Arabidopsis thaliana: one gene and its partners. The protein of the gene in region 1 interacts with the protein of each later gene in a pairwise test. Each region holds a gene or a part of one and is shown on either strand. Other genes may lie near its edges.

The links.
Region 2: the proteins of MSS1 (region 1) and AT2G39130 interact in a protein complementation assay, tested with the Arabidopsis thaliana proteins (one large-scale study listed by BioGRID).
Region 3: the proteins of MSS1 (region 1) and ZF14 interact in a protein complementation assay, tested with the Arabidopsis thaliana proteins (one large-scale study listed by BioGRID).

What each region holds. Positions count from the first base shown.
Region 1 is NC_003076.8:9,239,918-9,250,885, forward strand, and holds MSS1 (Major facilitator superfamily protein), read right to left. Parts: upstream 7,624-10,968; 5' UTR 7,078-7,623; coding exon 6,945-7,077; intron 6,385-6,944; coding exon 5,934-6,384; intron 5,305-5,933; coding exon 5,013-5,304; intron 4,639-5,012; coding exon 3,934-4,638; 3' UTR 3,481-3,933; downstream 1-3,480. Other genes in the region: AT5G26320 (TRAF-like family protein), read left to right, coding at 1-105, 192-367, 500-779, 885-1,051, 1,156-1,319; AT5G26330 (Cupredoxin superfamily protein), read right to left, coding at 1,697-2,094, 2,553-2,718. UniProt on the Arabidopsis thaliana protein: Mediates an active uptake of hexoses, probably by sugar/hydrogen symport.
Region 2 is NC_003071.7:16,318,425-16,329,199, forward strand, and holds AT2G39130 (Transmembrane amino acid transporter family protein), read right to left. Parts: upstream 8,883-10,775; 5' UTR 8,732-8,882; exon of another isoform or gene 8,497-8,731; 5' UTR 8,427-8,496; intron 8,339-8,426; 5' UTR 8,321-8,338; coding exon 8,142-8,320; intron 8,003-8,141; coding exon 7,677-8,002; intron 7,210-7,676; coding exon 6,995-7,209; intron 6,596-6,994; coding exon 6,572-6,595; intron 6,123-6,571; coding exon 5,722-6,122; intron 5,602-5,721; coding exon 5,466-5,601; intron 5,375-5,465; coding exon 5,209-5,374; coding exon of another isoform or gene 5,165-5,208; intron 5,120-5,164; coding exon 5,076-5,119; intron 4,985-5,075; coding exon 4,922-4,984; intron 4,846-4,921; coding exon 4,747-4,845; 3' UTR 4,534-4,746; downstream 1-4,533. Other genes in the region: AT2G39100 (RING/U-box superfamily protein), read left to right, coding at 1-184, 376-445; AT2G39110 (Protein kinase superfamily protein), read left to right, coding at 1,346-1,364, 1,605-1,981, 2,077-2,340, 2,420-2,542, 2,620-3,144; WTF9 (Ubiquitin carboxyl-terminal hydrolase family protein), read left to right, coding at 3,370-4,533.
Region 3 is NC_003070.9:21,648,609-21,657,672, forward strand, and holds ZF14 (MATE efflux family protein), read left to right. Parts: upstream 1-4,379; 5' UTR 4,380-4,553; coding exon 4,554-4,715; intron 4,716-5,072; coding exon 5,073-6,509; 3' UTR 6,510-6,831; downstream 6,832-9,064.

The DNA of each region.
Region 1 (10,968 bases):
AGAGCGACCATCGAGTAAGATAGTGACAATAACAAGCTTCTCCGTGATTAAGGGCAGATCTGAAGCCTTTGAATCCTCTACTTTTGAGGCTGCTGGTTACAAATGGTAAATTAAACATCATAGTCTCTTTCACTTAACTCGAAAACTTTTTCATAAGCTTGAGTTTATTTTGATTGGAAACAAAAAATCAGGAGATTTATGTTGTTCGTGAATGGTAATCAAAACGACCCCGATGGTGGACATGAAAATATGGCACTTTACGTGGGGATCAAAGAGACCGAATCTTTTCCAAGAGGCTGGGAAGTCAATGTTGATCTCAAACTCTTTGTCCACAATGAGAAGCTACACAAGTACTTGACTGTTTCAGGTAGTTTACAATGTTTATATAATTTTTATAACTAGGACCATTCTATTTTTATACATCCACCGAAACATCTACTTGTTGGAGATTTGAAATATAAACATATTTGATAGTGATTTGGATAATTGTGGATTGCAGATGGAACAGTGAAGCGGTACGAAGCTGCGAAAACATATTGGGGATTCGGAAACTTGATCCCTCGTACAACATTGCTTGACCCAAACGAAGGTTACATCTTGCATGATACCTTATCTTTTGGTGCTGAGATATCCATCGTTAATCCAGCCGAAAAACAAGAGAAAATCACATTCATATCAAACCCTCCGGACAATGTCTTCACTTGGAAGATACTTCGTTTCTCCACCTTGGAAAATAAGTTCTATTACTCTGACGAATTTCTCGTTGGAGACCGATACTGGTTAGTAGTTTCTAATCAAATTATATCAAAACAATTGCTCAAAAATGTCGTAAAAGAGGAAAACATATTTTTGGTAATAACAGTTTTGAGTGAATATGTAATCAGGAGATTAGGATTTAACCCGAAAGGGTATCAAGGAGAAAGACCACGTGCACTTTCAATCTTTCTATATGCTCAAGGCTATAAGGCAAACGCAGTTATTACAAACACTTGGGGATCGGTTAATCTGCAGTTAAAGAATCAACGAAGCTCCAACCACATTCAACTATATAGTAAGAAAACTATCAAAGAATAAAAGTAAAATGTTAATATCCAGAAGACATATTAAGTGAAAAAAATATAATTTGGTTTGTTCCTTTTTCTCTCTCTTTTTCAGGTGAAGCTTGGTGTGCGATTCGAAGCGGTTATGGTATTGAAGGGAACAGTATCATATTGTTAGAAGATTTACAAAATTCATCAAAAGGATATTTGGTGAATGATGCAATTATCTTTGAAGCTGAACTTGTTAAGGTCTCTGTGACCAATATTGTTTCCGCTTAGAGATCTCTAATTCTTTGTCAGCGATTAAACAACCTTATGAATAAAGAGACAAAGCTTGTAATTTTTTCAACCAGATCTATTAAACCGTTTAAACCTCAACCATATGGATCGTTGGCAGGGTGGTCCAACAAAAATGATGGCACAAATCAAAATTTTATCCGTATTATCTCATAACTCTGGTTAAAGATGACCAAAAGAATATAACGGAATGGTTTAACAATACTCTCATTAAGTACTAATTGGTTTTAGTGCACATTTTTATTGTTGAACCATCTCTACATTTTTTAATCATTGGAAAAAGAACTATATGGAAAATATAAGTATACATAACAAAAACTTATATGCAGTAATTCCAATATACATATATGTAATCCTAGTTAAGAAGCAAAATTTGTAAAGGCCAAAGAGACTAGGAGAGTCACCACGGCCACGATTTGAGCCGTCACCATACTCGGGAGAGAAGCAGCAAGGCTAGGAGAAGGGCCAGGGACTCCGGCTGCAGGAATAGTAGTCGAGGGAGGAGAAGAGGAGGAGGAAGTTGGTGGATCAGAGAGTGGCGTGGAGGAGGCAGGGAGAAGGACGTGAAGGTCGAGCTTCTGACCGGCGAGGCAATGGCCAGGAACGCCGCAAAAGAAGAAATGGTGGCCGTGGTTGGTGAGTGTGATTGAGTCGTTGCCGGTGGTGAAAGTAGAGATTGGCTTTGAGGTGTTGCAACTTCTATACATTGGGTGCGTCACTCTCATTACGTTGTGGAATTGTGGGTTGTATTCGAACACTATCAAAATCAAATTAGTTTACGTTTTACTCATGTTTTCATAAAGGTAACAACAATTTTAAACATGTGCATACCATGAGAAAAAAATAGAGAGCATATATAAACCAAAGAAAAATCATAACATATTTTGGCCCAAAAACTCAATCATAGTTTTTATTTCAAAATTTATCAATCATGATTCATAAGTTAAGAACCTCTCTAAACTAATTAATATAATCACTTTAGCAGATGTGACACTTGATTTCGTATTAATCCTATAAATTTAATTTGTGACTTAAAAGTCTCAATGATTAGGGCGTGAGTGGTACTCTTTACTTTACACCTAAAGCTTACGCACTTAAGAATTATGAATGCTAGAGGGGGTCCACTTTCCGACAAAATTAAGTATTACAGTCAAGATCTTCTCATTTTAATTTAGCTTGTATTGTACAATGATGTAAGAAAATTCAGGAACTCACAGACAGTATCACCAATGTGGAAAGTTTTGGTAGAAGCCCATAGCTTGTAGTCTACGTTGGCTATGGTTGTCCATCCTGCTGAGTCGCCGACTTTGTACACGGCCGCTTCACTCAGTCGTAGCATCACCACGATACACGCTAAAGCCGCCACTATAATGGCTGCCATCGGTCAACAAACTTTCTCTGACACACGCTTCTTCTTCTTCTTTGGTAAAGAGCCCCACAAGGTTTTCTCCTTTAGTTTCTCTCTTTCTTATTATGTGTGTGTATATATACAAGGAGGTATGTGAATGTGAGTGGTGGTGCGTATGTATTAGGAGGTCACTTGATCTTTATTGGTTAGTTGGCTAATTTGGAGAAAGGAGTGTCTAAAAAGCAAAATACTGACAAAGATTGTTTACTTTACTTGTTTACCTTTTATTAGTGTTGGATTTAATGTCTAAGACTGACTTGGAAAATTGGAAGAATGTATAAAAAAATAAAAATGTCGATATAATTGAGAAAGAATAATGGAGGAAAGAAATTAAATGATGATTTTTTTCCTTAAAACTTTATAAAATGTTAAATAAATCTTGACATGATATTTTTTAAAAGACATGAATGACTTAGAAATCTCACATGAAGTTTAGTTTGGGATATAATAATCCAATTTATAAAAAAATACTATGGTTAATTCATTTTGAAAACTCATAAATTAGTCGGTTTTTAAACAAAAGGAGAAAAAAGTGATTCTTGTTATATGTTGTCAAGTGTTCACATGGTTTAAAGTTTGGAAGGCTTGTAAGGAAAGAATGGTGCGAGTTAGTTGGTCTGCTAATTTTGAATCATCTTTTAATTTTAGTACTTCGCAGTTACTCTTCCTCCTACATCTTGGTACCATGATTTCTTTAATCTAAGTAATATATTTGTGATAAATACCTTTTTTTGGGTAAACTTTTATAACAACATTTTATGCAATTTGATCACTGCTGGTTTTAGTAGAGAGTAGACTGTATAACTTCAAAACTAGTCTATATTTTTAAGCAATTTGAGACCAACAAAAATAATTATACAGTCCATTATAGGCCCATAACAAACCTATATTTGGCCCATTAACATAGGCTACCATCATTTTTAAGAGAAAATCGACAATGCAAATTTAGAGTTTGACATATACATGTCACACTTGTAGAAAATTGGAACTCAGGGATGACATTAAGAACCACAACAAAGCAAAAAAAAAAACTTCACTTATTCACAAACGCAGTTCAAACTTAAAGTAACGAAATTTAGTACACTGTATAGAATTGAAAACTGTATTTCCCTTCTCTACTTTGGTGTGTTTACCACCTCTTGTTCACTCTCTTCTGCTTCTACTTTGGTTAGGGACTCTTAAACCACTTTAAAGCCGTGTTGAAGGATCAAAGCCATTAGATTTACCATTACTCTTCTCACCATTCACGAACTCGTGATCATTATGATCATCCATGAACCTAGCCCAGAACCAATGCTTCTTCCAAACTCTCTCAGTCATCTCCTCGATAGGAATATTCTTAGTCTCCGGAAGTAGGAACATCACAAAGACAGACATAATCAAAACCCATGCAGAAAAGAAGATGAATATCCCAAACTTGAAATGGCAAAGCATAGAGAGGAAAGCTTGAGCGATAATGAACGTGAAGAGCAAGTTAACGCAGACCGTTACACTTTGTCCCGCGGAACGTGTCTCTAGAGGGAATGTCTCACTAGGGATTAACCACCCGAGCGGTCCCCAAGACCAGGCGAAAGCAGCGACGTATGTGCAGATCATTACCACGACTAGAATTGCGAAACCTTTGGAGAGATTTGTAGAAGTGTCTGTTACTTTGACGCCAAGGATAATGGCGATTACGACTTGAGAGAAGAACATTTGGACACCAGCTTCTAGGAGAAGAACTCGGCGACCGACTTTGTCAACGGAGTAGATTGAGACTAAAGTTGAGAGGACGTTGACTGCTCCGGTCACCACTGCTGAGTAAAGTGAAGCGTCACTACCAAACCCTAATGTGCTGAACAGAACAGGCGCGTAGAACATAATCGCGTTGATTCCAGTACATTGCTGGAAAATCTGCAAATTGCACACCAAAAAAAAAAAGATTAGCTTTAAACTTTGAAACTGAACTCTATGGAATCAAAATTTATGGAAACTTGACAAACAATTTAGGGTTATTGCTCCTAAAATGAACACAATGGAATCAAAATTATGGAAACTTGACAAACAATTTAGGGTTATTGCTCCTAAAATGAACACAATGGAATTAAAATTATGGAAACTTGACAAACAATTAGGGTTATTGCTCCTAAAATGACCACAATGGAATCAAATTTTAGGGTTTCTAGATCCTAAACGAAAAACAAAATCACTTCAGTCAAACTCTCCAAATCGGAGATAAACTTTTCCGATTACCAATTACGAGAGAACAGAGAAGTGGTAGTACTAACCTGTAAAGCGACGGCGATGACGAGCTGAGGACGGTTTCTACGTTGAAGAAGGTTTCTAAAAGGGTGTTTAACTTCTTTAGCAAGTCGACTAGCTTCAAGGAGATCAGCGAACTCTGGTTCAACATTATCGGTCCCTCGAATACGACGAAGAACAGCTTTACCTTCATCGAGACGACCTCTTTCGACTAAACTGTTTGGTGTCTCTGTCACCAATAAAGCTCCGACCGTTAGAAGAAGCGCGGGAATTCCCGCCAAACCTAACGATAACCTCCATCCCCAACCTCCTTTAATCCTGCGAACATTTCAAAATTTATTTAGTGGGCCAGTTTTTAACTCCGTTATGGGCCTACACGTAAGCCCATTAATTACAGGTGACAGATCATCATAACGCATTAAAAGTCAATGCCGGAGAAAATTTTGTTTGCGACTATATAAGACGTAGGCATGTGGATAGAATTTGCCGAAAGCACGGAAGAAAATTATGTTTGCGACTTATATGATAAAGTTTTTTCTTTGTTGTTTTGTTCAAATCTATTCATAAAGTTAAATGCTTTTTTTTTTGGTAATTGGATATGAATGATTTTTGAAAAAGGTGAAAATAAATTTAAATAAACACGGAAGACAGCCAAAAAGTTTGACAAAAACGATCAGAAAATTATGAATACTTTTTAGGTAGTACATGTAACTAAATCTTTTTTTTTCTTACAATAAATTTAAGGTTGTGTGAAGTGAAAGAGACAATTCATGTGGATATTTTTTCAAGTGTCATGTTAAAGCAAATTTTCTAAAATTATGACCACCATATATTAATTTGGATTTTATTTTGTCAAAAAAATCTCAAACCCTAAGTTTATTTTCCACACATTTTTTCAGATTATCAAATAAAATATAGAAGAAAAGTATTAGGGAAGAGATATTTACTTGGCGGTCCCATAGTTGACAAGATTGGCGAAGAGGATACCAATAGTGACGTTAAGCTGAAAGAGAATATTAAGACCACCACGGATCCTAGTAGGTGCAATCTCCGACAAGAACAACGGAACGGCTTGATTAGCGAACCCAACTCCACAACCAAGCAATATCCTGCCTGCAATAAGCATGGCTAGGTCTTGAGCCCCCGCGTTGAGAGCCACACCTATGATGAAGAAAACGCCGGCTATGAGCATAGTTAGCCTCCTTCCGAGCGTTCTTGTCGTGTATGAAGCAAAGAACGTTGCGGTTAGACCGGCTAAGTATAAAGATGATGTGAAAAGTTGTAGTCCTTGGTTGTCGTATTTGCAGTAGTTGCTGTCTTTGTCGGCGCCAGCTACTACTTTCCGATAAACCACGGGAAAAAACTTTTCGAGAAAGTCCGGCATCGATGTCACTCCGCCTGCGTATAGCCATTTCAATGATGGAAAATTATTTTTGTTGTTACTATTTTTACCGTTAAACCCTATAGGATATTATACTCATAAATTTATTAATTTATTCATGTTGATGTAGCCCATGTTCAAATTCAACATCGAGCATGTGTGTTGTAAGAAAATAACAAAAAGAAGAACTAAAACCTATATGACACTACTTTTGTCAATATACTAACTAAAACAAGGACGGTCTAGATCTTTAGCTGCCAAACTTTTGTAAGCTAAGATTTTTTTTGATTATTTTCTTACTTTAACCAATATTAATTAACATCGAGCTAGTTACTGAAATTTCATTTTGATTACCAAAGAAGTTAGGTATTAGGTGAAATAGTTCTACCAAAGAAGTTATTGGCGGTAGTTGAAAACATGAGCAAGTCCTATTTAAAATCGTTTTTTGAGAAAACTTGCACTAACAAAAACTTATGTATCTTTAAAATAAAAACTTCTTCTACGTTTTGTATAATATAAGATAAAAGGATTGTATTATACATATAGAAAAATAACTAAGGGATGTTAATATTCTTACCGGAGACACCGACGTCGTAACCAAACATGAGGCCGCCGGTAGCAGCCATGATGCAAGATATGATGACTATTGGAGTTATCTTTGCCTCAAACTCTACTCCGTTCGCCGAAGTCGCAAATCCTCCTCCGGTCATCCTGAATATCTCTTAGAAGCTAAAGTTTAAAAGTTATTTTCTCTCAAGGAGTTAAACAGAAACACTTAAGTTAAAGAGACCATTGGGGGTGTTTACTTCATTATATAGAGAAGTTGAGGTAGTGAAGCAAAAATAGATGTTATCTGCAGCCAATGAGATTCTTGCACGTCTCTTTTTATGTTCACATGCTACTGAGTCATCAAGTCATTGGTCAACAAACGTTTTCTTCTAAACTCTTTCTGCTTTATGTGGCGTCTCCTTAAGTCCTTATAGTTGAATATACAATTTGCCCATCATCATATAAGTCTTCTCTTTCTTGTTATAGTATTATCCTCGAATATTATATTTATTTTTATGTTAAATTATAAGATTCTCCTTTCTTATTAGAGAGATTGTTACATTTTCTCATATCGCTGTCAATGACTCAATGTGTTGTGAAAATCTTGCAACCGAAGCAAAATATCTCGAAATGTATTATACCTTTTAGAATATGAACGATTTGGGCCGTGTGTTCATACAAAATAGCCAACGTCATGTTACTTGTGAATTTTATCTTACTAATTCTGTCCTTTGTATTGTCTAAATTTATTGATGTTATGTATAAGTGTTACGTTATATGCCATATCTAGTCCCATATACTTTTAACACCGTAAGCAATATTCAACATTTTATTTCAGAATCATATTGAGATGAAACAATTATTGTGAGTACTAGACCGACACCAATCGAACCCACCAACCTCCCTAATTAAGAATATGGATCCAAATCTTTAAAATCGTTATAATATATAACCATATTTGCTCACCACTCGATTCAATTATTGTTTACTCTCGTTCTAATACGATTATGGAACAAAATATCTACAACTAGTCGAAGCCAATTTTTTAAATTTATATGTGTTGTTTTGTCATATGGTTTTCTCAGTTGGTGTCACGTTATTTGTGTATATCTACCAAATAGTCACTTTTGTATAGTTCATGGGTCCATATCTTTAAAAGACAATAACCATATATGTTTTTGGTTCTGATAAGACTAATAACCAAATATGCTCACTGCTACTCAGTTATTGTTTACGCGTTGAAAAGTTGCAATGCAACAACAACAACAAGTAAATATCTACCTTTAATATAATTGACTTTCCAATATATTTAGGTTTTTGATTTTTGATGTATGATTTTTCATTCTTTTGTGGTTTTGGTAATTGAAGTTTTTCCTATACACTGATATATCAATATTAAAGTAGGACAACACATGCAAATTAAAAATTGAATATTAATTGTTGAAATATTGTACCACGGATATAATGTGTTTAGACTTGTAAGTAAACTATATCCACTTGACATACATGTAAAATTAATTACGTAACAAAATATTCCTGCTTGGACCAAAAAAGTGTGTATTTTACTTTTCAAACATCATTATCCTGTTAAGAGTTGGAGTCGACTAATACGATTCAGATTCCACAAATATCAATGAGAGAAACGTAATAAAACGTGACGATAATTAATAGGAAAAGAGAAAAAAAATACGTCAAGTCGTTAACAAGAAAAAGGCTTGTTTTATTATTATTCTGTTTTCAACGAGAGCAATAACAATAATAAAATATATAAACAATAAATATCTATAAAGTTATTGTTATTATCCTGTTAACAAAAACTAAAATAAAAATATAGCTCTGTAAGTACGTTGCTCCAAGAAACGAAACTACATCCCATTATTTCAGCATTCCAGTATTATTTTCGTAGATTTTATATATATATATATATATATGTTGGTAAAATACTAAAGATTTTTGCTTCTAATTGTGGTGAAAATTTTAAATAGTACGGCGATTTTCATAATTTTTTACTTTCTTTTTATTGTACTCATTCGGCTGATTTGATCAGTTTCGGTAGAAATAAACCGAAGTATTATAAAGTAAACTTTTCCCGATTCAGGTATCGCCTACAGTTTTTACTATCACAGGTTTGGGTTACAACGATTTCCATAATTTTCTGAACTGAGCAAGCCATAAGTGAATATTAGCTGATAAATATAAAATGGGGAAAAAACCCTAAAAACACCCCATATATTTTTAATTTGCCCGTTTAATACCTCGGTTATTTAATTTGCCCGAACAATACCTAGGTTTATTTCTTTTCGCTTTAAAATCTTTCGTTTAGTTTTTGTTTGGAAAAACCAGCTTCTCGGGTTAACGACTGTTAACTTCGTTAACGGAGTGTCTAACCGAGGTTAATACTTAACCCCACGTGTTTATTTCGATCTAATCAAAGACACTGTTACCCTTTTGGCATTCTCCCCCAAATCGATTTCGATTCCAAACCCTAAAATTCTCTCTTTGATTTCGAAACCCTAAAATTCTCTCTTTGATTTCGAAACCCCAAATCGATTTCGATGTGTGTCGTCGTTTAACTGGTTGCGTTGTGGTCGGTAATTGATTTCAACGAGTCTGCTAAGTCACGATGAGGTATGTAATCGAATCGATTCTTAGGGTTAGAATTGGGGGAAATCGATTTCTTTGTTCGTCGGGATCGATTTCTGGGTTGTCGGGATTGAGAATGGGAAGATTTCTGGATCGATTACTGGATTTGTCGGGTTAGATTTCTGAGTTTAGAGTAACAGTTTCTATGTTTGTCGGGTTCGATTTCTAGGTTAAGGGTTTTGTCGGGTTTGATTTCTGGGTTTTTAGAGTTCTAGGTTTGTGTCATTTGAACTTAATCCCCTTATTCTTTGTTGTTTTTGCAGTGGTTTCGATTGTTTGAAGCTGCATATAAAGTATGGAGGAGATGTCTCAATTCGCGATGAGTCGTTTGCCTACATTGGAGGATTTGAGAAGAGGGATATGCTCATTGATCCAGATCTGATGACGTGGTCTATCTTCGCCGATTTCCCAGCAGAGAATGGAGTATCTGCTCCCGTGAAAAAAGTTTGGTACAAGCTTGCACACGAAAGCTTTGAATCAGTAAGAGCTATAGGCGAGGATAGAGATAGTGGGATTAGGCAGCTGTGCAGTGAAGCGTTGATTGGTGGAGAAGTAGACGTTTATATTGAGCAAGGTGTGTCTGAACCAACACCGTTTCCTATGTCTCAGCATGGTGAAGAGGCTGTTGTTGAAGAGATGGAAGAGTCTGATGCAGAGGTTGAAGGAGATAAAACTGGGGAAGAAGACAGAGGTAAAGATGATGATGTTGATCCTGTAGCAGAATGTGAGGGAGATGATCCTCGGTTTAGGGCCTTTTATGAAGAGATAAATGAAGAGGATAATAACCACCAAGATGCAGGGGAAGCAGCTGGTCAGGGAATTCCTGAAGCTGATGAAGGACATGTAACGGGTCAAGAGGCTGGAGTTGATGAAGGACATGTAACGGGTCAAGAGGCTGGTCAAGAGGCTGGTCAAGAGGCTGGTCAAGAGGGTATTGATGAAGAAGAGTTTGAGGATCAATGCATGGATACAGAGCGACCTGATGCTGCGTTGGATACAGATGAGGAGTGGGATGCTTTAGACCGTGAAGAAAGAGAAATTGCAAGAGCTAAATTCACCAAAGATAAGCCACCTTATCTATGGCTTAAGCAGCAGTTTAATAATGGTGAAGAGTTTAAGGATCAGCTTTTGAGGTATGTCTTGAAGACTAACTATGATGTGAAGTTATGCAAATGGGGTCAGAAACAGCTGATGGCTATATGCAGCCATGAAAACTGTCAATGGAAGATTTATTGTTTTGTGGATAAGAGGGTAGGGAAATGGACAGTGAAAACTTATGTGGATGCACATAAGCATGCGATCAGTGGAAAAGCGAGGATGCTGAAACAAGGTGTGATTGCCAGATTATTCAGAGATGAAGCAAGAAGGAGGCCAACCTTGACTTAGGTTGACATTAAGGATGAGATAAT
Region 2 (10,775 bases), on another chromosome or scaffold:
AGGCAGTCCTTGGAGATCCTGATCCCTCAGTTATTGTTCATTTTGCGTCAGCTCTTTTCATCAAAAGGCTTGAGAGAGAGAATAATCGACAAACCGGGCAGACCGGGATGTTGGTGGAAGATGAAGTCTCCTCTCTTCGAAAATTCTTGTCTGATAAGGTGGATATATTTTGGCATGAACTAAGGTAAGATTTTTATACGCTAGGGTTTTTTCAGAGTTTCAAGTAGTTACAGGTTTAGTATAGTAGTACAGAAAACACATAGGCAACCTAAACCTAGTGACTTGTAAGTCTGAACAGATGATAGAGCTGATATCTGTTTGGTTTAGGTTTTTTGGTCATATACTATTTCTGATGAGAAAGAAAACATTTTTCAGATGTTTTGCGGAGAGTATACTCACGATGGAGACTTATGATGCAGTGGTTGAATACAATGAGGTGGAGTAATAGCAGTAAAAAAAACAGGTAAAGAAATTAGGATATGTATTATGTGGGTTTGGTTTCACTAAGTAGGAACCTGTTTTGCTTCGATGGTTTTTTTTCTGAAGTCATTATGTTGTATTCGCTTGCAGATAACCGAGCACTATGCTCTCGTCAAATGAAGTAAATAGACAGACTTACAACGCGACTGTTGGTGTCTTGGAAGTTCAATAGTGGAAAGACTGGACCAAGTAAGAGAAACCAAGAGTTAAAGAGTAGGTAGGAGGAAGATGTTGAGATGATGCAAGTTTAGGTGTGGAGTTAGTTTTGAGATAGCTATAGGTGGATTCTCAAATAGCTGACACTTAGTCTCTCTACTTCCATAATGTACGTCTCTTCTATACCAAAAATTCTCACCCCCAAAGTTTCTTTCCAACGCTTTTCCTCACCTCATCATTTTTTCTTACGTTTCGAGTACCACCTATTTCAACAACATTAAATATTTTCTATAATTTGACTATCAATTTTTAATAAATTAAAACTATACATAGTTTTAGATAAATTACACGAAGCTTCCATAGAAGAGGAAAGTTCATTTGAATTTCTCTTCTAAACCGTACCTTAAAGATTAAATGGTGAATATACACGGGGAAATTTTTTTAATAAACAACGCGTTCTCTATTAAGGTATTGATTGATATAAGTAAGCAAGCGGGTGTAACACAAAATAAAATATTATAAAAGGCTTCTTCTATAGGTTGGTAAGCGGCAATCCAGCTGCCATTGCCTATTTGACTTCCCCCATTCGATCATGGTGAGCTCGTCTTCTCTCTTCTCCTCTTATCTCTTTCTCTACCATTTTCTTTTGCTTTAAAGCTCTCTCAATCATGATCATGAAGACCCCCATCACAGCATTCCATTCATCCTCATGAATAATTCTACATCAGGTTTCTTCTCTTTCCCTTTCTGATTCTCAACACTCTTACCACATTTCTACTTTTGTGTTGTATATCGATTTTTGTTCTACATTCTTCCAAATGTCAGGGAATCTAGTTGAAATGTGATGATTTTTGTGTTGATAACTTGATATCTGGTATGGATTGAATGATTGGTGATTATCTCTGTTAATTCATCTCTGATCGTGTTTCTGTTTGTGTTGACTTGGAATGTGGACCTGGTTTGGATAGTGAAGAGGCTGGTTTCATCTAAGGCAATGAAATGTTTCTACTTCAGCAAAGACAAAACTCAGGATGATGAAGCTAAGACTAGAAAGTTTGGTTCAGCTACGATGGCTAGAGGAGGATCAGGGTCTGAGTTTAATTCAGATACAAGTACTGCTACTTCCATTACTTCTTCCTTGCACGTCCTCTCAGAGACACACAGTAATAATCTCAAAGTATTTGTCCTCGATGACCTTAAAACCGCTACCAAGAACTTCAGCCGCTCCTTGATGATCGGTGAAGGTGGCTTTGGTGGTGTCTTTCGTGGCGTGATTCAGAACCCTCAAGATTCTCGTAAAAAGATTGATATTGCAGTTAAACAACTTAGTAGAAGAGGTCTACAGGCAAGCAAATCTTTTTCTCTCTCTTTAGTTTGCTTCTGTTTTACACAACCTCCTTCAGTACCCAACAATAAAAACAACTACGTATGCATTAACAGGGGCATAAAGAATGGGTGACAGAGGTAAATGTATTGGGAGTAGTGGAGCATCCGAATCTGGTGAAGCTGATCGGTTATTGCGCTGAGGATGATGAGAGAGGGATCCAACGGCTACTTGTTTACGAATACGTACAAAACAGAAGTGTTCAAGACCATTTATCCAATCGTTTTATAGTCACTCCTCTTCCTTGGTCCACCAGACTGAAGATTGCTCAAGACACTGCTAGAGGACTCGCTTATCTTCATCAAGGCATGGAGTTTCAGGTATCTTCTCCATCCATGATCACAAATGCCTTTAAACCTTTTTCATATGTTCTTGAAACTATACTCATCTTATATGCAGATCATCTTTAGGGATTTCAAATCCTCTAATATCCTTCTTGATGAGAACTGGAATGCAAAACTCTCGGATTTCGGACTGGCTCGAATGGGTCCTTCAGATGGAATCACTCACGTTTCCACCGCGGTACGCTACGCCTTACTTGTTATGTCTCCATTGATTGTTTGAAACAATTGAAGTCTTACCAAACTATGAATCTACAGGTTGTAGGGACCATTGGTTATGCAGCACCGGAATACATCCAAACAGGACACCTCACGGCTAAGAGCGACGTGTGGAGCTACGGAATCTTTTTATATGAACTCATCACAGGAAGACGACCTTTTGACCGTAACCGCCCAAGAAACGAGCAGAACATCTTGGAGTGGATCAGACCACACTTATCCGACATAAAGAAGTTCAAAATGATCATCGACCCAAGACTTGAAGGAAACTACTACCTCAAGTCAGCATTAAAGCTAGCTGCAGTTGCTAACCGGTGTTTGATGGTAAAAGCGAAAGCAAGGCCAACAATGAGTCAGGTTTCAGAGATGTTAGAAAGGATAGTGGAAACATCATCAGATGGTGCTCCTTCAGGACTGCCATTGATGAAAAGCTTGACACCTAAAGATGCATTCGAAGCCTCAAGAAGGGAGAGAGTTAAGAGAAGATTTGTTGAACTGTTAATTGGAGAAAATGGTTGTCCCAATTTACCTACTTGGTCTCATAAACTTGTTACTTCTATTTGATTTTTTTGAGAGAACAAACTGATAATCACACTGCTTGTGTTATGCCAATATTAATTGCCATTATAATCACTTGTCGTTTCTATAAATAAAACGGCCCGCAGTTTTGCCCACAATAAACGCCGTGTCGTTTACATCTTAAAGTAAACATTGCAACTGTCTTCTCCGATAGTCCGATTTCTATGTTCCCGTTAATTGGGGTTTTAGGGTTTTCCGATTAGTTCCACAATGCTCTCTATTCGCCGCCATGCCAAAACCGTAGCTTCCTCCTGCACCAACCTTACTCAGAAACGAACCTACGTCGACGTTTACATGAAATGGAAGAGAGATCCTTATTTCGACAACATCGAACACATCCTCCGATCATCTCAGCTCAAATCCGTCGTCTCTCTTAAGAACTGTATCGTCCAGGAACCTAATCGCTGCATTCCGATCTCTGCCATCTCCAAGAAGACTCGTCAATTCGATGTATCAACCAAAATCGCTCACTTCTTAAGGAAGTTTCCTTCAATCTTTGAAGAGTTCGTTGGTCCAGAGTATAATCTCCCATGGTTTAGATTGACACCAGAAGCAACAGAACTAGATAGGCAAGAGAGAGTCGTATACCAAACTTCTGCAGATGATTTGCGTGATAGGTTGAAGAAATTGATTCTGATGAGTAAAGATAATGTTTTGCCACTAAGTATAGTTCAAGGAATGAAATGGTATTTAGGTTTACCTGATGATTACTTGCAGTTTCCAGATATGAATTTAGATTCTTCGTTTAGGTTTGTGGATATGGAAGATGGAGTTAAAGGTTTAGCAGTAGATTATAATGGAGGAGATAAGGTTTTGTCTGTGTTGCAGAAGAATGCAATGAAGAAGAGAAGAGGAGAAGTGAGTTTAGAAGAGATTGAGTTTCCTCTGTTTCCATCAAAAGGTTGTAGATTGAGAGTCAAGATTGAAGATTGGTTAATGGAGTTTCAAAAGCTTCCTTATGTATCACCATATGATGATTATTCATGTTTGGATCCAAGTAGTGATATAGCAGAGAAGAGAGTTGTTGGTTTTCTTCATGAATTGCTTTGTCTTTTCGTTGAGCATTCTGCTGAGAGGAAGAAGTTGTTATGTCTCAAGAAGCATTTTGGATTGCCGCAAAAGGTTCATAAGGCGTTTGAGAGACATCCGCAGATTTTCTACTTGTCTATGAAGAATAAAACTTGTACAGCTATTCTTAGAGAGCCTTATAGAGATAAAGCTAGTGTTGAAACACATCCTGTGTTGGGGGTAAGGAAGAAATACATCCAGTTGATGAAGAATTCAGAGTTGATTCTGAAGAGTCGAAGGAATAGTTTCGGGTTTAGGGACGAAGGGGTTGTAGATAAAGATTTGGATTTGGATTTTGAAGGCTAAGGCAAAATGTTGTACCAATCTTTATTAATCAACTTTCAAACCAGTTTTAAGATGCAGATCATCACTCAGATATTACAAAAGCTTTGAATGCAAGAATGAATTTTGCTATACGAAAACAAAAGACAAAACAGAAAAAGAAAAAAAGAAAAAAAGTATTCCCCTGAAAGACAAAATGGGTATAAGAGTTTGTAAGAAAAAAACAGAGAAATATTTTCAGTTGGTCAATTTCTCAACGATCTTGGAAAGAGCTGAATATGAGCCAATGACTGAAGATATTGCTCCTACTATGATGATTAAGACACACAACATCATCTACAAAAACCAACCAAAACTTTGTTAATGAATCGTCTTATAACACATAGAAACAATGTTTTTGTGAGAGGCTAACCTGGGTCGGGGTAACTTTTCTCCTTACAATGCTCAAGAAACAAGCTGGAGGAAGTATTAGAGTCTGCACAAAACAAAAGATGAACTTATATATCCAAACTTAAGATCCTCATTTGTAGTAGATATACCAAAAATAGAAGGAAAAGACAGCTTACGACGAGCATAGTCAACAACGATCCAATCAATGACATGACAAGACCTGCAAGATTTTTGAGTGTTCTCACAACTAGCAAAAGTATGATTTTCAAGAAAAGGAGCTTTGCATCAAAATAGTAAAGAGGAACTTACCAAAGAAGGGAATAGCGAGACCAACAAGCAGAGTAGAGAAGACCAATAGGGTTCTAATGCCGATGGCGTACCAATGTGACCTGATATGCCTTGATGGTATCAACTCCTCAAGACTCATTGCTACTGGAGATATGGTCAAAGCATATTTGGTAAATGGATTGACCACCTGTGAAACGGTTAAAACAAAACGGTTTTACTTCCAACCAACATGCAAGAACCAATACGTAGTGGAAAGAAAACATATTTGGTCCACTTACCGTAGTCCACACAGCAATCTTAGTTGCAATTAAATCTTGAGGCAAGTTGAGAGTAAACTGTGACTGTGTTGATTCTCCAAACATCGTATAACCCATAACAGCGACGCCGGCATACATCAGAGTACAAATACCAAAACTGCACAAAATTATCAATCTTTCTGCTATCAAAATGGTTGAATATTTTCTTGAAGTTTGCATAAGCGAAAGTCGAAGCGTTGTAGAAGATAAGAACTTGTTTAAAGCGACATAAGCTTACCATGTCAAGAGAACAGCAGGGTATTGAGATGGTTTGGCCATAGAAGTATAAATATTGGGGAAAACAGCATGTCCTGAGTAGCAGTAACCATAGAGTCCTATAGCCACAGGTAATGTTGACAAGTTTAGTGTAGTTCCTTTGCTGTGAATTCCAACTTCATCTACCAAACCAATCCAAAACAAACATAAAACCACTAGCACTGATGCAATCACCCCTCCAGCAGAGATATAACTAAGTACGCTGAGATCTCTGAGCCAAACGGTGGGGAGAACGGCGAGAGTGGTTAGCAATGCAAATAGATGGCGTGCATCTAACTGAAATCCTCCAATACTTAAGGCAGCATTTGGATATAATGAAGACAAATTATCACTCTCCAATATTATATATTCCACACAGCATGCCTGAAAATATGAATAGACTCATGTCAAGTCTGCAGATGTATCATCTAGTATCTACTATATAGTCACTATTCAACTAATCATTTCACACTAGTAGCTTTTAAGAAGCTTTTTAGGGATCATTTCCATCTAAAATATATCTTTGCTACTTTAGTGACGTCAAAAGTATATAAGCTTTATGAAGGAACAAAATGAAACAAAGAGAAAAGTTTAAAGCAGCTTCAGGTAGTGCCAAATCTAGAACTAGTGGCAGAATCTATGGGACCCTTTGCTAACGTGTTTCACAACATGGGGTCACATACTTGAGATCTCTTTTCTTGTTTGTTTTTTTTAAAACACAACTTGGAATCTCTGTAGTTATGTACTTTTCTTGACAAAAAGAGTCATGGGATTCCAATTTTTATAAAATATGAATTAAAGTCAAGTGATGGACGAATCCAAGAAGTACTTACGTATAGCTCCAAGTAGAGTACAATCTGCAATACAAACAATAAAAGGAATAAATTAATAAAAATTGATATCAAATTCCACTATTAAAGAAGCTAATATTCGTAGTTTCTTGCTCTATTTGATGAGATGTATTATTAATTCAATAGGTTTCTTCTACTCATTTGACTTCTTATAGCAATCTAATTGCACCAACACATGCGTGATAGTAATTTTTCATAAGAATAAAGCTTCATACTTGAAACAAAAGTGGTAGCTTTTTGCCCTTTGCTTTTGAGTTGTTCTATTTGATCCTAGGCCAAAAGGCAATTCTCTTTTTGTGTGGGATCTTGTATATAGTTCATTCAGTTTTCTTTTTCTCTATTTGGTCCTTAACTTTATATCACCTTCACTATAGAGGAAGATTTTAAGGAAATTTATCATCTTACCGAGACAAAGATACGTCCAGTAGTACCAAACGCAGCTTGGCCAATGTCGGGATAGGTTTCGAGGTCAGACTCACTGTCGAGGCAATAACGAAGGAGGATTCCGGTGTAGAAAGAAAGAAGACCATATACAAATAGTATCATAAGTCCTAACCATCCTCCTTCTTTGGCAGCATAAGGCGTTGAAAGTATTCCAACCCCACAAAGAACGTTCAATCCTGCACATGACCCACATGTTATACAAGATGATCATAAATTTACTAAGAGCAAAAGATCTCAATCATGTTCTTTGAACCTAGACGTGTTTGGTCCAACATGTGCTCCATGTGCTATAGGACAATAGAGTTGATTGTTGTTTTGTACGATTCACTTAATTTATAAAGAGACATACATCTTTAAACCCCGAAGAAGACGGTCTTAGACCCTCTTACACACACAATCTAGATTCCTATAATGAAAATCAAACAACAGAGAAAATGTTGACATATTTTCATTAGTATTTAACGGTGAATGAACACAATTGCAATCAATATTGCAGCTCTATAGTTCTAGGAAAGCAGCAATTAGCTCTACCATCGTTACTACTCTCATCAAGCCAAGCATCAGAGAATCTCTTAAAACTATTTAACCACTTTTAACGAAGAGAAGACACGATATTTTAACTCAAGCATTAAGATGAACTGACCATTTAGTACAGCTTGTCCGTATGAGCTATTACGAGACATTGGAATCTCATGAGACACCATGGATGATTTCTCATCCTTTCGCATCGAACCCCTCCTCGAAGGAATAGGAGAGAGTAAGCCCTGAGAGCTAAGTCTATGTTTTGGTAGTGCTTGTTCATCTGCTTGTTCTTCTAACAAAGGTTTTGTAACAGTAGGTAATGATTCCGGAGTATGTCTTCTTATCAAACCAGAAGACAAGAAAGAGCTTCCGAATCTCGTCATCGAATTATTCCCAAGAAAACCGATACCGGGAGACGGTACACTACTATAAAGATCAATCGACTGCCTACAAACATTATCAAGAACACACAAAACCAACTCTTAAAACGTAGCAAATCAAATCAAGAAATGGAGTAATATTAGCGGAAATGAAACATATTCACTTAACTACCACAATAAAGAGTGGAAACGGAGAGAAGCCAAACCTGTAACTCTGAGGCCAAGCAGTGGTGTATGAGCTAGGCTTAATGTGAGCTTGGTTTTCATCATAAACATCATCAGAGGAATCAGAATGGCTTCCACCATCTTCTTCTACGTAATCTTTCCTATCGTCTTCGTCCTCGCTCTCAATGTAAAAGCTTTGATCAGACGGTACGTGATTCATTTTTTCACTTTATGAAATCTGATTTGAATTCGTGTAAAAGAAAATAAATGGTAAGATTGTCGGAACAATCAAATCCGAATAAAGATAACTGGTGACGAGATCTAACCTGTAAAGTCAAACAGTCTCTTGTTCTGTCTCAAGAACAGGATTATGGAGAAATGTAAAAAAATTCTAAGCTTCAATGATTGAGTCCCCAGATCACATCAAGAAAACAGACAAACAAAAGAACATTGGTAAGATTGTCGGAATTTCGAAACAGAAACAGAATTTTGAGAGAAATAAGATTGCATCGCTGCGTGAGAATTTCATTCAATCTTAAATCATTGATTGGCAAAAGAGAAAACAAATGAAAAAGGATTGAAGAAAGAAGAAAGTGAGAATCGTTGGTGTTGTAGACATTGATATTGTTACCTGAAAATCTTCGGATCAGAATCGGTGCGGAGAGAAGAGAGAGCTCTTCTGATAGGAGGAGGATATAGAGAGAGGGAGATGAGAGTGGAAAGGAGAGGGAGAGAGAGCGGCTTTTTCTCTGTTCTACAAATAATAAAACTCTTTACAAAAGTTTTTTTCAAATTAAATACTTTTTAGGGTAACTTATTTTATTTATATTAATCATTTTCCTCTAAACTTATTTAATAATTAATCATTGAGTATTAATTGTTGTGGTTATAGATTCCCATTTTTAGTTTGAATATGTGATAGGTTTCCAGTTATAGATTCCCAGTTTAAGTTTGATTGGTACTGTTTTCTAAACCCAACGCTTATACATGTAATAGTTTGGAAAAGAGTACCAATTTGGGGGTTTTTTTTTTAACAAAGATGTTTTGATATTTAATTAAATTTTTAAACCATGTTTGGTAAGAAATTGGAATGAGATCGTAAGACAAAAGTGAAAACAATGTGAAAGTAAGATTTGGTTTAAAACGGAAACAACAAAATATCAACAACAAAAAAAACCATCTTGTTTTATTAGCAGAGAGCCCGTATGAAGGACGTGTGACAAGTATCAGGCGAGTGTGTCCACGCCCTTTTGGTCGAGTGGAATAAAAAGACAAGAACACACAAGTTTAGGACAACAAGGAGATGACTGGATGACGACGAGTTGCAAACTCAAGTGGTGGTACGCCGTGAATATGTGATTGGTGCCAGATTAAGCAGTGCTTATTTAATAGTACATATTTTGTTTTATTTATGGCTCGACGACGTCATAATTTTTAATCATATTGTTTGCTTCTTTATCTTACTTACTATAGACAAGAAAATGTCCTTAAGATACACCTAAATAAAAGTAATTAAGTGGACTAATTAGCATAATCCGAGGGGGCTGTTTATGTCAATTTCTTATTATAGAATATGATTATACTATTCTTCATTGTTGGGTAGGCAAACCATATCTTGCTGACGGAGATAATTTAAATTTATTATTGCAATACATCAGCTTTAGGATTGTGGGATTGTCTCAAATCCCACTTTTTTAAAAATAGTTTAACAGCAAACTGAGAATCTTTCTTTCTTTTTGTTGTTGGTCAGAAATACAAACTGAGAATCTGATCATGTATTAAAACAAACTAACCAAATAGTGCTTTTTTATTAAGGTTTCATGAAATGTGACGCCTTAGCGAGGCTAACGAAAACAAGAAGTGTCATGAGAAACACAAAAATCAAAACCACATATGAATGAGCGATTCATCTCATTTAGCTAGCAACACCTTTTCAGAGTATATATCACATATGCTATGGAGTATCTAGATTGGTGAATTTAAATTGCATCGTCATAAAACAAGAGGGAAAAAGCCACAGTAATCAATCAAAAGATTAGGTCAATATCAAATAGCTAATTTTTCAAAATGAAAGTTGATATACGATAAAAAGGTCAGATTAATAAAAACAAAATGGTTCATTGAACATGTATGTATCAGATTGTAAGTATGTCAAATCAAAGTATATATCTATCTCACTTTCGAAATCTGCAAAAATGACTAGTTAATTGAGGTGAACCGGCAAAAAAATCACAATCGTAAGAACAGAATCACATGATGTGTAGATCTGTTGGTCGTTCATTTGGACTTTTCTTCTGAAACGATAACTCAAGAGCATGTGCTCATTTGATCTCTCTTTGTTGATTCTCCGCTTCCTTCAACATATCCCCACATGCTTCATTGTTGTATTTTATTTTTATTTTCGAAACTATATTAATACAGAGGAGAGGAAGATCGTCCTCACAAGTATTTGCAAAAATGATACACAAATCAATGCCAAAATGATGACGCAGTGAAGGTTTAGACAGCTCAAGAATGATATTGCACATCAATCACTGATTCAATGTTTTATTTTTGTCTTCTTCTTTTTTTTTTTTGTTGAATGATACTCATTGTCAACATAATATCATAAGCCTTTTATCAAAATAATAATAATACATAATGTCCTGCATTTTGTCTTTTTGTGATGATTTTTG
Region 3 (9,064 bases), on another chromosome or scaffold:
GATAAAAAAATTCTTTTTGTGACTAGCCATCATTTAAATGACAATATAAAATCTCGAACTTCTTATGTCTTATAGGTTGAACATTTCAAATGCTAGACAGAAAATTAGTTGCGTCATTTAAATTAGTTCTAACCTACTTAGGTTTAATAGACATAAAAAAACATAGCATCTTCATATCAAACAACTATGTCACTTCCAATCTTTCTGGTGTATGTCACTTCCAATAATATGGAACGAGTTCCTCAGAACCGAAGCCAACTTGGATAAGGATTTTGCCTCACACGAAGATAATAACACAATTTTCTCGTTGCATTGTCTTTTACAGTCACCTTGCTATCTTCAAGATAACTCTTATCTTCGATTGCGAAAGAGAAAAAATATCAAATCAATGGGACCAGAAAGATAAACAAAATGAGAGAAGCATGTCCTCTGGTTGTTATGGGTTATGCTTGACACTTGAATATTTGTGCAGACAAGAAGAGAGTTGATTTTGTTCACATGGATTTTGTTGCTCACTACTTAACAAAAAATGGCAGTGTTTTTGCCTTGAAACACGAGACAGCCACCACTTCTCCAAGCATTTTACTATAACGCCCTTTGTCTCTTTCCCTAATTGGAACTACTTAGTCACACTGAAAGAAGGATCTTTCATATTTCCAAAAAGATCTACCATTTTAAAATGAGTCTTTTAAAAAATGATGCATCTATCTTTGCATAAACCTAAGAAGAAGTCCAACATTAGGTGAGTTTGAATCAAAGTAATTCTAAGTTATGCAATTTACTAGAAGTAATCAGCAGCATATGAATTAAGTACTAATAAAAAATAGTTTAATTAAAAATATATATATAACAAAACTATATGTTGATTGACACGGATCATTTTAAAAACATTTGTGAACTGTCTTATAGAGTAAATGTCCATTTCAAAAGAGTTGGATATGCACATTAATTATATAATGTTTGAATGTTGATCATGCTCTTATGACATGTTTTTAAGTCTCCACATAAGAACCATGCAATTTTCCATGAATTAATAACTAAACGTCGTTAGTCCGACTAGAAAAATACCATGGATAATCCAAACATGCATAGTTCAATAAGTGTGTAGACGTGAAGATGTTGTCAAGATCTTTTCCAGACATTCCTAGTCAGTACCATATTCAATGTGGATATACATTAGCGCAACATGCAAAAACGGAAAAAATTCCGACCATGTCACAAACTTCTCATTTAATACCAACAACCAAACCGGTGTGGCATGGAGGGTCAATCCAACGACATATCTAAGGACATGAGTCCTAGATCTAGGGAAAATATTCCTATCAAACATACTTATCCAAGACTAACAGAGGGACTAAATATTATTCAAGAAGTCAATTTACAAATCAATGCAGATCATAAGTCTCGTTTCTCCAAAAGTACACTTGTTGGTTTCCCTTCTTCTCTTCTTCAAAATCTTCTGATCATCTCATTCTTAGTTCATAATGTCCAATATAGGTCACCGAGTAATTTTCATTCTCGTCTGGCAGCCAATGAAACCTGAAAATTTTCTTTACTTGTCCCTCAAAGCACCAAGAGATACTTCACCGTGTGTGTTTTTTCACTTACGTTGTACTGAAAATCATAGTTCATCCATCCTATAATACTACAGTTTAGACACAATTAACAAAGGAACAGGTTATGAAAAAAAAAATTGCGATCAAAAAAAATACCAATTGTTTAGACATCCACATGCAAACGTCAATTTTAAAAAAGTCTTACAATCACTTCACTCATAAAACGTATTGCATATTGCAAAAAAATGTTACTATTACCCTCAAACGATGTGAGCATACAATGCTTGACGCTCATCTAAGTTTGGTTATGATATCACTTGGAAAGATCCGACTACAATTATTTGTGGACCTTTCTGTTCACTCCTAGCCCGTAGGCTTCATCCACGTCTGACCACCGATGTCAAACTTTTGAAACCTCTAAGAAACTTGTTATTGGTCATATATTTCACCACAAACGTAAAAATACGTGTTTTTACATCTCATGATATTAATAATCATTTATAATAGGTCATTTTCTTTAGATATCTCTAACTTAGACACACTTAATGTGTAGGTTTTTCAAAATGAGTCACGAAAAAGTTAATTACACTTTGGTGATACATGAAAAATCAAATTAATAATTTTGATCATCTCAACACGCACAACTATTTTTCAAATTCAAGTTAGTACAAATACTATACGATCCTCATTTACTAGACAAAGGTTATATTCTTAAAACCAAATTAACTCCGGAAAAACTTTGCCCCCTCCAAAACCAAATTATAGCTTCAGATCATGTATTATGTATATGAATCACAAAATGTGCAGGTCAACTAGTTGTTCTCCGTTGCCTTAATTTCTCTTCTTCTCCACATGTCGTTCCCTCACCATCAGACTCCCAACACATGTTACCATATAGATATTAAGCCATAAATAACTCGTCATACAATTGTACAAAGTATTTATAGTTACGTTGTACAAGAAAAGTATTTAGAATTGGTTAATTTGCGATAAGACCTTTAGTCTACTTGATATATTTTTGCATACACGTGAGAAATTTGGTCAATAGAAATGCTGATCTACCGATAACGGTTTTGATCCTTTTCACGCCAAATTTTATAGAAAATGATCATATGCCAAAAACATATACAACAAATGAAATTGCATGTTGTGGTAAAATATTGATACAACGTTTTAATTAATTGTAATCATTTGATAGAAAACAAGCTATTTTAACATTAATAAGTTATATATAATAAATAAGTTACTATTAATATTTTACATTTACTTTTATAAAGATTTATTTATTTTAAATAGTTTTTAGGTTTCATGGTATGGTGGCAATGAACATGCTTTCAAGCCATTTTCTGCATAATAGTGTTTAACATTACATTACATTACATATATTCATTAAACCTAAATGTTAAAATTATATATGCTAAAGTTGCAATAGACATGCAATTTGAAATTGGAAGAAAATGCTAAATTAAATCTCATGCCATTTTACAGCATAATTTGATATTTTAGACATAGGAAAAACTTAAATTTTATCTTGATTGACTAGGAAAACTTAAATTAACCGTTAGTGCAAAAAAAGAAAGGATTATCTTCACAGAAAGTATATAGACTAATCTAGTGCAGTTTCCTGTTTGACATCATTACACCTAACCTTAAAATTTTCGGAGTTATAAAATAGGACCGACCTCTGTTTCTAAATGTTTCAGCGGAATTAAAGAAAAACAAAATGGCATAAAATTTGTAATTGTGTCACAAATCACAAATGATATAAAATTTCATTTTTTATCAAAAAAAAAGAAAAAAAAAGAAAAAAGAAGGAAAAAAAAAAAGAGAGAGGCAAAATTGGCATATTAATAGGACCGACCTTAGTTGGTTTTGTTTGTTTTTAATATTTGCTATGGAGTATGTGTTTTAGCAAAAACAAATCATAAATGTATATACATTGTTAAGTGTATAAAAATTGTAAATCCGTAAAATTTGAGTCAAATAGCATACAATATCTATAAATGCCATAAAAATGTAAAATTCATTTAATTATAAATCTAAATCCTAACTACTATTATATAAATCCAAACCGATATATAATCTCGTTTAATTAGAAAATTTAAAACCTTTATTATCTTTTATAAACCTAAATCAATATTTAAACTTGTTTAATTGTAAAATTTAAATCTGTTTATAAACTCAAACCGATATTCAATCTCATCAATCATAAAATTGAAATCTTAACTTTTTCTTATAACTGATATATAATTTTTTTATGGCAAATTATATTTTCTAATTAAATTAATTTAATATTATTTATTAGGTGGTAGATTTTGATTGGCTAGAATAAAAAAGTTCACCCAAGTATTTTTCAAAACAAGTACTAACCCCATCAACTTATGTGACCAACCGTTATTGAATAAATGCTTTTTATCCTCTCAGCCTAAGAGGTAACAACAGCCTGATATTCTAGCACTTAGGACGACTGTGAATTCGCCAGCCGACATAACCGAAAGAGTTCAATATATAGTGAAGCCCAAAGTTGAGTTAAAGATTAGGAAAGAGATTTGCTATTATTAAAGGTAATGCGATGTATTTTAAAATAGTTAACTAAACCAATTTTTATGTCTTTCTTCAAAAGTGAACTCTTGAGCTATCCTAAACCTGTGTGTCGTTCTTCTCACAGACTTATTTGGTGGACACACGATTTGTTTAGTCAAAGCAAACAAAAAAAGTCCCACTTCCCTATTAGAAAATCAATTCTTTGTTAAAAAGAAATTAAAACTAATTTTCGCCACGTGTAGAAACGATATCGCTTCTTTACAACTATAAATAGTCAGCCTTTCTCCTCCAAAAGGCCCAACCAATTCCATATTAAAAATATTAGTTCCTCTCGGTTCCTTTTATCATTTGCATAAAATCGTTTTGCCTCCAAAAGACTAAAAGCTCTAGACTTTGTCTCTTTGTCCTTTTATCTCTACTCCCAACAAAACCAGTTTACTCCTCTTAAGAATCATGTGTAATTCAAAACCATCTTCTGCTTCATCTTCCTTATTATCTTGTAAAGACAAAACCCATATCTCAAAACTCGAAACCTGTGATACAGATAATCCTCATTATTCTGAATTCAGGGATACTGATTCTCTAGACCTTAAAAGATGGCCAAGTTTTCTGGAGGTAAATTATTTCTTTTTTTTTCCTATACGTAAATGTTTGTTTTTTTCTACATAGATATGAACATAATAATTCAAGAATCTAGTTCTTGACAAAACTAGATTGTACGAACTATACCAAAAGCATATATACATATACATATATATAAATAGAAACAACAGTTTCGCAATCCTTTTTATATATATACCTAAATCTTTGGTCCCGGTTGGTGATTTGGTTTTGTCATTTTTTTATAAAGGTTTAAGATAAGCTTTATTTGATTAATATAATTAACCATTAACCAGGGAAAAGAAAAAAACGATCTACTGACGTGGACGGTTCTTGGTCTTGACTTTTCTTTTCTTAATTATCTGGCGGCAGGGCTTAGAGGAAGTGAAGGCGATCGGAAAAATCTCTGGGCCGACGGCGATGACCGGGCTTCTTATGTACTCAAGAGCGATGATATCGATGCTGTTCTTAGGCTACCTCGGTGAGCTTGAGTTAGCCGGAGGATCTCTCTCCATAGGCTTTGCCAATATCACCGGCTACTCCGTCATCTCCGGTTTGTCCATGGGGATGGAACCAATCTGTGGCCAAGCATACGGAGCTAAACAAATGAAGCTTTTAGGACTAACCCTTCAAAGAACCGTCCTCCTACTCCTCTCCTGCTCGGTCCCTATCTCCTTCTCGTGGCTCAACATGCGCCGAATCCTCTTATGGTGCGGCCAAGATGAAGAGATCTCCTCTGTTGCTCAACAGTTCCTTCTATTCGCCATCCCTGACCTCTTCCTTCTCTCTCTGCTTCACCCTCTTCGAATTTACCTCCGAACACAAAACATTACATTGCCCGTGACTTACTCCACGGCCGTGTCCGTTCTCCTCCACGTTCCTTTGAACTACCTCCTAGTGGTGAAACTTGAGATGGGAGTAGCGGGAGTCGCTATAGCTATGGTTTTGACAAATCTCAACCTTGTAGTCCTCTTATCCTCTTTTGTGTATTTCACTAGCGTGCATAGTGATACATGGGTCCCAATTACTATTGACTCTCTTAAAGGTTGGTCGGCTTTGCTCTCACTTGCCATACCCACTTGTGTATCTGTTTGTTTGGAGTGGTGGTGGTACGAGTTTATGATCATTTTGTGTGGACTTTTGGCTAACCCAAGAGCCACCGTGGCTTCCATGGGAATCTTGATCCAAACGACGGCTTTGGTCTACGTCTTCCCATCCTCTCTCAGCCTTGGTGTCTCTACAAGAATTAGCAACGAGCTTGGGGCTAAACGTCCGGCGAAAGCTCGGGTATCCATGATCATCTCACTCTTCTGCGCGATCGCCTTAGGCCTAATGGCGATGGTGTTTGCTGTGCTGGTTAGGCACCATTGGGGACGCTTGTTTACCACGGATGCAGAGATTCTTCAGCTGACTTCCATCGCATTACCCATTGTGGGGTTATGTGAGCTCGGAAACTGTCCTCAAACAACCGGTTGTGGGGTTTTAAGAGGCTGTGCAAGACCTACACTTGGTGCCAACATAAACTTGGGTTCATTTTACTTTGTGGGCATGCCAGTCGCTATTCTGTTTGGGTTTGTTTTCAAACAAGGGTTTCCAGGTCTCTGGTTCGGGTTGCTTGCAGCTCAAGCAACTTGTGCTTCTCTCATGTTGTGTGCACTTTTGAGAACAGATTGGAAAGTCCAAGCCGAGAGAGCTGAAGAGCTGACGTCACAAACTCCCGGAAAGTCTCCGCCCCTTCTCCCCATCGCAAGCTCAAAGAGCCGGTCTACCTCCGGTACAGAAGATATGATGAGAACCATGTTGGTTTAGATTGATAGCTATTCTCTGGAGGCATTTGCCATCAACATTGACGTACATATATGTTCTTGTCATCATTTTTTGGAGTTTATAGTGCTCCTTAATTTCTACTTTTTGATTTAAGAACGACTTTGTTTTGTGGGCTTTAGTGGTGTTTGTGTTATTTATGGTTGTATTGGTGTGATAGTTCTAATTAGCTTTGACTTCAGCAGTTTGTATTTTATGTGTTCCCTTTTGTAATAACTCGTGGTTTGATTATCTTTATATATTTGTCCATTTTCTAGGAGAATGTGAATTTTTTTTGTTAAACTAAGAATAAATTTATTTTATTTTATTTTTGTCACAAAAACTAAGTATAAATCAAAATGAAAAATTTAACCTCAATACAACTTTAATATATATATATATATATATATATATAAAAAGATTCCAAGATACTAGACGTGTCTAGGCCATTGAAATCTAGAGAAAGACCATACTAGTAGATCAAACCTAATGGCCGAAGACAATCAGAATAACTAAGGATACAGTAAAAATGTTCCATAATAGGTTAATTTTTTTGCAATTTATTTTGTATTCGTATTTGTGTTGTGAAAGCTTTGCTTATTTAACAATCAATTCTTTTCTTAAGGACAGGCAAGATGAATGTTTTATTTTTGAGCTTTTGGTGGTTCCATGTTCCATAAAAGGAAATTATATTCGTAGCCAAAAATGGAAAACAATTTCCTTTAATTCTATCATATTCTTTGTCTCAAAGCCATTGAGATTCGATACGTTTTAAAATTTAATTGAGATCACATTTATTTTGATTTTGGTTGTTTCCTTTGAGCAGAGAGAAAGCATCTTTTCTTTTATGTATACTTTTTTTTGTCCTGGGACCAGAACATGAATTTATACGAACTTCACAGCGATGTGGCCAAAGAATAAAACCAAATATGACAAGAAAATGAAATAAAACTGAGTGGAATCGATAATGCGTCTACGTGTCGACGATATGAATTACCTTTCAACCTTTGATATTCCTTTTCTATAGATATTTTTAAGAAATAAAATAAGTAAAGCCTAGTAAACTGAATTCCATTGGCTTGCTGAAATATCTTTGATTTTCATTGGCCATCGATAAAAAGTTCGAATTTCATTGGCCTTTGAATTATGACGAAAGAAAAGACAATTCTATATTATAAGTTTTGGACATCTACCTTTTGTTATTATTTACACGTGAATAGTTTTTTTTTTTTTTTTTTTTTTGTCTTTTATTGGTAAACACTATGAGGTCAATCATACTCATTCTAAATTTACTGGTGAAGCTATTTCGAAATTTTAAAGATATCAAACGTAGATGATTAACCACGGTAAAAAAAAAGTATATTTTGTAGATAGAAGTTGTTTTTCAGTACTGTACACAGTTAATTATATCTATATATGGAAAACTATAGTAAAATGAGAAAATAATAATACTAACAGTAAACAGGATTATTACGTATTTTGCCATTTTTAGTGGTATTTATGAATTTTGCTATTTTGGCTAAAATATTATGGATTTCTAAATGATATATTTGTTAGGAAAATAAATTGTTTCAAAAAGATAAGAGTTTTTAAATTTTCTATGTAATATTTTTTAGTTATTATTGATGACTCTATAAATTTTAAGAAAATTAATTGAATACTATCAGTAGAATTATAGAAAATTGTAAATCACAAAAAAAAACAGATACTTTTATAATCAACTTTTCATATGTGTGAGTGACAACTCAAGAAAATACATTATTTCAAAACAAAGGGAGTGTGTTTTAAAGGTCATTTGATATAATTATGCATTACATTTTCTTTCTACGTACTTTTTAACACTACTCTTATGTTCGCAACAATTTAAATACTTGTCATTTCCCTAAATAACTCTTTGTTTTCTCTCATTTTGCAAAGTAACCCTGCAAACTATCCTAGGAGGTGAGCATTTATTATATCTAATATATGACATATTTTTATACATCATAGAATTAGATCCGAAAGGTGATATATGTTCATGTATACTTAGAATAAGTATGGCAAGTATGCAATAATAAAGTGGAGTAGGTACATCAATCACATGTTCTTACTGTTTTTGTCTGGATCAAACGTTCAATTGTAGCCACATGAAGCATCACAAACATATAAATATAGTTCATAATACGTAGAGAGTAGAGAGAGTCGTAGACAAGTTTGTGTTCTAAGAAAAATCGAATTAATAGATGTCAAGTCTATAAATGTCGCGTGTGGTAAAGCTCGAGTTTGGAGGAGAAAGAGAATAGGCAGGGTCCCTCACCCGGCCGAGACATGAGCGTTTGATTTCCCTTTATTGTAAAATAATAGCTTTACAATCCAATTTATCACCTACTTACTTTTTCAACATCATCTTCTCATGATTCCAACCATGAGATAAATCTCATTTTCTGCTCCTCAAAGCAGCAACTAATCATATCATGATTGAGTACAAAGAGGTTAAATGCAAGATTGTTGCAATTGTTGATTCTGACGCCACTTGGAACGTGCATTCCTCTTTTACGTTAAAACAATAGTGTTTGTAAATT